Linked DNA regions of Elephas maximus indicus. The protein of the gene in region 1 interacts with the protein of each later gene in a pairwise test. Links are inferred from orthologs where the notes say so. Each region holds a gene or a part of one and is shown on either strand. Other genes may lie near its edges.

Evidence for each region.
Region 2: the proteins of FOXR1 (region 1) and PPCDC interact in binary tests that used the Homo sapiens proteins (3 or more experiments, as listed by UniProt). The two-hybrid records come from large-scale screens. The link is inferred for Elephas maximus indicus from reciprocal best matches to the Homo sapiens genes FOXR1 and PPCDC.

Annotation. Positions count from the first base shown.
Region 1 is NC_064835.1:11,420,922-11,424,836, reverse strand, and holds the start of FOXR1 (forkhead box protein R1), read right to left. Parts: upstream 3,088-3,915; coding exon 3,040-3,087; intron 2,463-3,039; exon of another isoform or gene 2,411-2,462; intron 1-2,410. Other genes in the region: UPK2 (uroplakin-2), read right to left, coding at 3,753-3,889. UniProt on the Homo sapiens protein: Transcription factor which acts as both an activator and a repressor.
Region 2 is NC_064831.1:65,073,363-65,077,277, forward strand, and holds the start of PPCDC (phosphopantothenoylcysteine decarboxylase), read left to right. Parts: upstream 1-1,130; 5' UTR 1,131-1,162; intron 1,163-3,915. UniProt on the Homo sapiens protein: Catalyzes the decarboxylation of the cysteine moiety of 4-phosphopantothenoylcysteine to form 4'-phosphopantotheine and this reaction forms part of the biosynthesis of coenzyme A.

The DNA.
Region 1 (3,915 bases):
ATGTACCTTTAGTCTCTTCTAATCTGGAGGTGTTTCTTAGCTTTTTTTTCCTTTTTTTTAATCTTTCACGCGATAGTGACATTTTTGAAGTGTACAAGCTGTTTATTTTGTAGAATGTCCCTTAGTTTAGGTTTGTCTGATATTTCCTCATAATTAGACTTAGATTATGCATTTTTTGACAAGAATACCACAGAAGTGATGTTATTTCCTTCTCAGTACATGGAATCAGGAGAGACATGAGGTCAGTTGGCCTCATCATCAGTGATGTTGACTGCGGTTACTTGGTTTAGTGGTATCCTTCAGGCTTCACCACTGGAAAGTTACCGTTTTGTGGGAAGAGACTTTAAGGTTCTGTAAAATTCTATTCCACATTAAACTTGAACCCATTAGCTTTGTTGTTGTGGGTGGTGGAGTAGATTCTGACTCTTAGTGACCCTGTAGACCTGCCCTATAGGGTTTCCTAGGCTATAATAAAAAAAAAAAAAAAAATTTTTTTAAATCTTTATAGGAGCAGATTGCCAGGTCTTTCTTCCCTGGAACAGCTGGTGGGTTCCAACTGCAGACCTTTTGATTAGCAGCTGAGCGTTTAACCATCACACCACCAGGGCTCTTTCTCATTAGCATTAGTACCCATTTATGGTTCTTGCCCGAGTCAGTCATTACAATGATGGTTGTAAAGTGATCATTGTTCTGTATCTATCATTCCTTCTCTGTGTATTTGTTGGCATTCTGCTGTGAGGAAGAGCTTCTCCATATCTGTTTGTTTGTTATCAGTGTGGACTCAGTGGATTCTTATTTTATATGGTAGATTAAATTTATTACTATCATTATATGTTTTGATCCTCACAGTGTCCCAGATTTGGCCAGTGGGTGAGGCACCCCGCCTTTTTGTGGCACCCCGGGCTGCCCTATCAGCCCCTTTGCTCTGTACTGTGTTGCCTGTTGCTTATCCTCTACTAGACCAGAAACTTTGAGAGAGTAATACATGGCACATAGGAGACCCTCAGTAATGTTGTTTTAACTAAAGTGAAATCTAACTGTAAAAGTTTCCTAGGACTCTACCTTTAGTACCACTAAAAATAATTATAATAATTCCATACTTATTATTATTTCCCTAATTATGAATGTAATGCATGGTTGATGCAGAACACCTGGAAACAGAGAAAGTACACAGGAAAAAACAGCAAAACAAAAAGCATTCTTTGTGTCACCTCTGGGCGATAATAATAATCCATTACTTTTTTATGGTGGTAAGTATATCTATATAACAAAACATTTGCCATTTCCACATTTTTAACTTGTGCAGTTCAATGACATTAATTATGTTCATCATGTTGACCAACCGTCACCAGTATCCACTTCCAGATTTTTCCATCACCTTTAACAGAAACTCAGTGTTCCCTAAGCAATGAGTCCATCTTTCCCCCTACCCCCAGCCCCTAGTAACCACTCATAAACTTTGGTCTATGTACATTTGCCTATTCTAAATATTTCATATAAGTGGGATCGTTCAATATTTGTCCTTCTGTGACTGACTTGATTACATTTTGATAGATATTCTTCCAATCTCGTTCCTTATGGTATTTTGTTTTGTTAAAAAAAAAAGTTATTGTAATGTGTCCACCCTTTTATAGCCCTTTTCCAGTTAGGTTACCATTTAAGAATGTTTTATCAGTAATTCCCAAACTTTGCTGTGTATTGGAATTTCCTGATTATCTTTAAAAAATACTAATGCCTGCTTCCCACTCCAAGGGTCATTCTCATTCTGGTGTGAGGTATGACCTGGGCATCAGGATCGTTTAAAGCTCCCAGGATGATTCTAGTGTGTAGCAAAGTTTGGTTCCCAGTTCGATGCTCTTCCTACCACTCCAGAAGGTTGGATTCCAAACCTCCCTGGGCTGGTGCAGTTAGGATGGAAAGCATAGCCCAGAACATTCCTTCTAAAGGGTGCATTCTCCCTGCCCCTCTCTCATGCCTTCAGGCCTCAGCTCAGTTAGGCCTACTCAAACTAGAGGGCCCCAGTGCCTGCTCCCTCTGCCACTATTCATAGCACTTACCACATTTTTTTTTAAGCTGAAAATTTTCTGGTATCAATCTTTATTATATAACCACAAATTATAGGTAGGGTTTTTTTTTTTTTTTTTTTGCACTTATCACATTTTATCTTTATTTGCTTGTTCACATTTTTGTGTGTGTGTAGGGGGGGTCCTGTCTTTTCCACTGAATTCCATATAACTTCCATTAGGGAAGAACAGTGTCTGTTATGGATTGAAGACCCATGTTCCAGACTCTCTGAGTCTTTTCTGATTGTTTTCCCAATTTTTACCACTTTCCCGGCCCCCTCTTTATCAAGGGCTCATTCATTCATTCGTTTATTCATTTATTCAACAAGTATTTATTTAGAACCTACCATGTCCCAGGTACTGTGCTCGGTCCTGGGGAGCAAAGCAACTGCTTACAGTCTGGTGGGAGAGACAATGAATAATCACACAGCATATAATTACAAACTATAGTAATGCTATGAAAGACAGGATAGGGGGACCCCACCTAATAGGGAGGAGCGGAGGCCAGAGACAGCTTCCCTGGAGTGAGGACACTGAGCTGAGCCTAGAAGGATGATTCAGAATTAACTATGCAAATAGGAGTGAGTCTGGTGTGTGTGTGTGTGTGGCGGTAGTAGAAAGAGCAGTCCAGGCATATGGAATAATCTGTGCAAAGGCCCTGAGGCAAGAAGGAGCATAGAACATTGGAGGAAACACAGTGAAAGCTAAAGGGGTGGTTAGGGGTTGGACCAGGTGTGGCACTGAAGATCACCTTAAAGATTTTGGTCTTTAAGAGCAACGCGAAGACCACTGATCCTTATGAGGAGTATATATTGGAGAGGGCAAAAGTGAAGGATGGCGACCACCCTGCTCTTTTCCCTTATTTACCAGACTGTACCCCTATTGCTCCCCTCCATCTGGGGTTCTTCCATTTCCACCCTCTGCTCCTAGAGACCCTTTAGCCTATTCTTCCTTTCCCCCCATCTTTGGGTCTCACCTTGGTGGTCCAGTCAGAGCTTCTACTCTTCTTCTCAGCGTGCCCCATTGCTCTGCCAGCCTCCCCTGTCCCTAGCCCCTCTGGCCTCTCTGCCTCCACATGGTGCACCAGCCTCTGTCCAGCCCCCTGGTTAGGTGGCCAGTTGTGGAGGATGCAAAGCCCACCCAGTTGTGGGTCTGTGAACTCTGACTCCTGGGTTCTTATCTTATCTGGCTCCTTCCTTCCTCATGGGAAAAGCAAATTTGGGGTTATGGGGCAGCAAGAGGACCAGGAGCACCTGCAGCCTGGACATAGATTCCACAGGTTCACACGAAAGTGGAGCTCACTAAAGGAAGCACACATAGCAGAGGTGGCATCCCACTTTATTGTAGGGACTTAGTTCACTGAGGGAGGCATGAGTTGTTGGGGGAAGGGTGTGAATGGTGAAAGGGAAGGAAAGTAAGCTCTGACGGTGGGAGGAGGGGGATAATAAGGAGTGCTGGGGAAAGGGGAGGCATTAAGGGCAAGAGGAGACTGAGGGAGGAAAGGGCTCTAATGGGGGGGGCAAGGAAGGGAAGGTGAAGGAACTGAAGGAGTTGAACACTCATGACTGAGGACTGGGAGGGGCAGCCTTTTTAGGAGTGGAGACAGGAGATAAAGTCAAAGCCCTAGGCTGGGGAACTGGACAGCACCCTGGGCTTCCTGGAGGAGCCCGCTGCTCAGTGTAGGCCTCTTCACTTTTGGGCACCCAGTGCCAGGGCGGTGATGAAGCCCACAACCAGCAGGAACATGGCGACTGAGAGCAGCACTGTGATGACCACCATGCCCCCTGTTCGGGCCATTCCCAACCCAGTGGACTCCATCTTCCTTCCTGTCAGAGAAAAAAGACAGGGGAAG
Region 2 (3,915 bases), on another chromosome or scaffold:
TGTTTCTGGGAGACAGACTACTCCCTAGCTGGCAGCTGACCTGCCTGAGCCAGTGTGTCTGTCTGTGGTAACTGAGTGAACCTTAATAAAGGGGAACATTTGACCCTGTGTGTCTTGCTGTGTCATGTGTTTTCACCTGAGTCTGCATAGTAGCTGTGTGGAGCCTCACTATTGGGTGTGGGACATGGATGTATGGTGGGTCGGATGAGTCTCTGGCCTGTCATTCCCTGGGGCCAAAATCCATACTCCCTTGTGTGGTTCTTTCTCCAGGGGGGCTTTGAGTAGGCCTCGAAATTGCCACAAAGCCCCTCCTGCTGGTTTGGAGGAAGTTCTGTGTTCCCCAAGAGCCCTGAGGAGGAAGTAGAAGGAATAGGCTGGATTAGTGGGTTGGGGTACCGTGGTTCAGATGGTTCACTGTGGGCAAGGGCAGGGGTAGAGCACACGGCCCCACCTCAGCTCTTACCCTGGGAGACAGGTGGCTGGTTGAGCAGCCTCAGTAAACACAAGGGACCCTGGGAGCCTGTGAATGCTGGAGAATGAAGAAAGCAGGGGGAAGTGTTCCCAACATGCTTTCTCCTGTGTGTTCCCTTTGCCAGCGTTGTGCCCTCCACTTGGAATGCTGCCCTGGCCCCCTTTCTATGTACTGGCCATCCTTCAAGATTCACCTCAAGTGACTCCTCCTTTGAGAGGGCTTTTACCCTGAGTTGTTGCGTCTACAAGTTCCCTGCCTTCCCCACTCAGGGCCTTAACTGTAATTTTCTGTATCTTTGTTTGGATAGCTGGGACACGCCTGATTTATATGTGTCCCGTGCACCTAGAGCACGGAAGAGGCTTGGTAAATATTCAGTGTTAAATGACCCAGTGATGAGCAGTGTGTATGTGTGGGAGGGGTTCAGGTGGTTGGGAAGGCCAGACAATTAGGCCAGGCTCTGGTGGGAGCATCAGAAATGCCAAAACACAGGGAGACAAGTTTCACCTCAGGATTCCTTCATGTGGACTACAACTCCCAGGAAACAAATGGAAACAAGTGGACTACAACTCCCAGAAGGCAGCGCGACCACGCTAGGTGCTCTCGTGATGCTGCGCGCCAGCCAAAAGTACAAGGAGGGACTGCTAAAATATCGCGAGACTTGGGAGCTACCTCGAGACGAGCGTGGCGCGGGTGAGGCGCTTAAGGGGATTCCGAGGCTGGGATCTCGCTGCTGGGCTGGCGGGAGGGTGGAGCTCTGCTGGCGGCAGTGACTTTGCGGCGTGTGCGTGTGTGTGTGTGTGTCTCTGTGTGTCTCTCTGTGTTTGTGTTAGTGTGTGTGTGTGTGTGTGTGTGTGTGTATCTGTGCCCTCCCTTTCCAGCTTTGTGCTGCTCGGTGGTTATTTTTTAGTGGAGTTTATCGCCTTTAAAAAGTGGCCCTATTAATTCCTTTAAGTCCCTAGGTGGTGCAAACGGTTAACACTCTGGGCTGCTAACCTAAAGGTTGGATGTTCACGTCCACGCAGAGGTGCCTCGAAAGAAAAATCTTGCAGTCCACTTCTGTGAAATCAACCATTGAAAAATCTTTGAAACACAGTTCTACTCTGACACAGGTAGCTGGGTCATGAGTCAGTCAGAATTGGCGCCATAACACCTGGTTATCAATTTTCTCAGGCTTACAGTGTGTTTTTTTTCTTTTTAAATCATGAGCCTATTTCCAGAAAGGATTAGGGACTGACCTAGTACAAACTGTATTCTAAAAGTTAGTAAAAATATAAAAAAGAAAGCCATGAGAAGTTGGCATTATCCCCTAAACCAAAAAAACAAAAACCCAAACCTGTTGCCGTGGATTTGATTCTGACTCACAGTGACCCTATAGGACAGAGTAGAACTGCCCCCATAGGGTTTCCAAGGAGCTGCTAGATTTGAATTACCCCTCTTTTGATTAGCAGCTGTAGCTCCCCTAGCTTTCAACCACTGTGCCACCAGGGATCCCCTAGACCCACCTAAAAGTGATGAATGTCATTTAAGTTAAAGTGAGTCCAAATATTATTAGAAAAGACTTCCTGCTGTCCTTTGAAATATTCGGAGGCCTGTGTCCGATAATGGCCAGGAGAGATTCCCAAGTTGAGGAAGCGATGGGTGTCTTGTAAGTAGGGATTTTCCACATCTTTCTCAGTGGCTGGGAGGTGGCAGTACTCAGTTTCTACTATAGTATGTGCGTGTGTATATATATATATATATATATGTTGGGGTATATAGATACATAATGCTTAGACATATATAATGTATATATGTGCGCAGTATGTATGTGTATATGTATTACATATCTCTCTCTTGAGGAGGAGGTGGTTTACTCGTGATTCCAGGAGCAGCAGAGTCAAGCATGCCTGCTTCTGGTTTGAAAGCTCGTTCTTAGCAAAATTCCAGTACTTTGAGCTCTCCCTGAAGAGTTCCTTTGCCTTTTCTTGGATGGGGAGAAGGGGTTTAAAGTGCTCCTGTGGCCACAGGATTCCTTTTAAATGTCTTTGGTTTGAGGGGCAAGGTGTTGAGGAGTGGTGGGAAATGAGTCCAGAGCAGAAGCCAGCAGTTTGATGTTAGGCTAAAGGATTCAGGCTGTATCCTGCCAGAGATCTCTGCCATCTTTACCTTGGAGTCCCTGGGTGGGGGACTGTTACCACCTGCCCCCTCTCCACCTCCCTCCACGTTTGGTCCTGCTTTGTCCTAGGCCCCAGACCCTTGTGTTGGTCAGGGCTCACTATTTGTCTGGCGTTGCTTACCTTGCTCCCTTTATTAGCTTTGGCTCTGCCCTGACTCCATACTTGCTCATATTGTGATTGGTAGGTATCCCTGAAATCTTTACCTAAACTCTGTCTGTAATTAATTAATCCAGAGAAGGATTCTTACATATCATAAGCCTGCCACAAGGCAAAGCTCCTTACTCTCTCTGGCTCTGTCTCTCTAAAGAACAGAAACGCTTCCATCTTTCTGGCTGTGGCCTAGCTGCATGGCTGGTGCCCTGGGAGTTTGAGGTTCAATAAACAGCCTCCAGCCCTATAGCCCTCCTGCCTGCCTGCCAGCTCAGGAGTTCCTGTGAGGCCAGCAGAGCCCAGGGCAGTGAGATGCTGTCTGTAGCTGCTCTGGCTATGCACATAGATGACTCCAACAGAATCTAGATGGAGTAACAGATTTACTGGTTTGGGACTTGCTTCTCTTTGAGAGTAAACATAAAGGGCTCCTGCCAGCTCTCACCTTCCCTGGGACTGTCAGGCTAAACTGATTTGACCTTGCCTCTAAATGTTTAAATTACCCGATTTCTGTTTTTCGAGTATTATCCCCTCCCCCCCAACACCACCCCCACCCTGGCCTGGACTTTCTAGAAAGCTAGGTAGGCTTTGGTTCTCAGCAAAGCTTGCTCAGTAGGCAAAGTACATCTTGGACTTCACTATTTGCTGTGGGAGGCAGTTGAAGTCACCAATGTGGATTCCTGCCCCAAGTTCAACTGATTACTTTCAGTAACATGTTCCCTAGGAATGAGAATCAGCTTGATGTGGAGGAAGTCCAGGGGGCTGCAGAGTGAAATTCAGCTTCTGTGGTGTTGCAGGTGTTGCCTAGTATAGGACAGGGTCAGGGTTTGAGATCTGGCAGGTGGTTTCCCTGGAGAACCAAGAATGCGCCTTTGTCACATAATGTGGGTCGGCGTGCTGTTTAGTAGTTCTGGGAAGAAGCTGGCAGGTAGGTCCCTGGAATTTGCCATTTGCTAACGGCTCCGTAGGTCCTAAGGTAAAATCAGTTCTATAGCTCTGGACAAACGTGGCCCTAGCTGAGGCCCTGAAGCAGAGTAGAGATTGAGATCACTGGCAAGTGGAACTTTGCGGAGTCTTGCTCTAGGGAACCCACCTGTGCTTAACCCGTGCTGAGAAAGCTCTGGGAGGCCCATCCAGGTA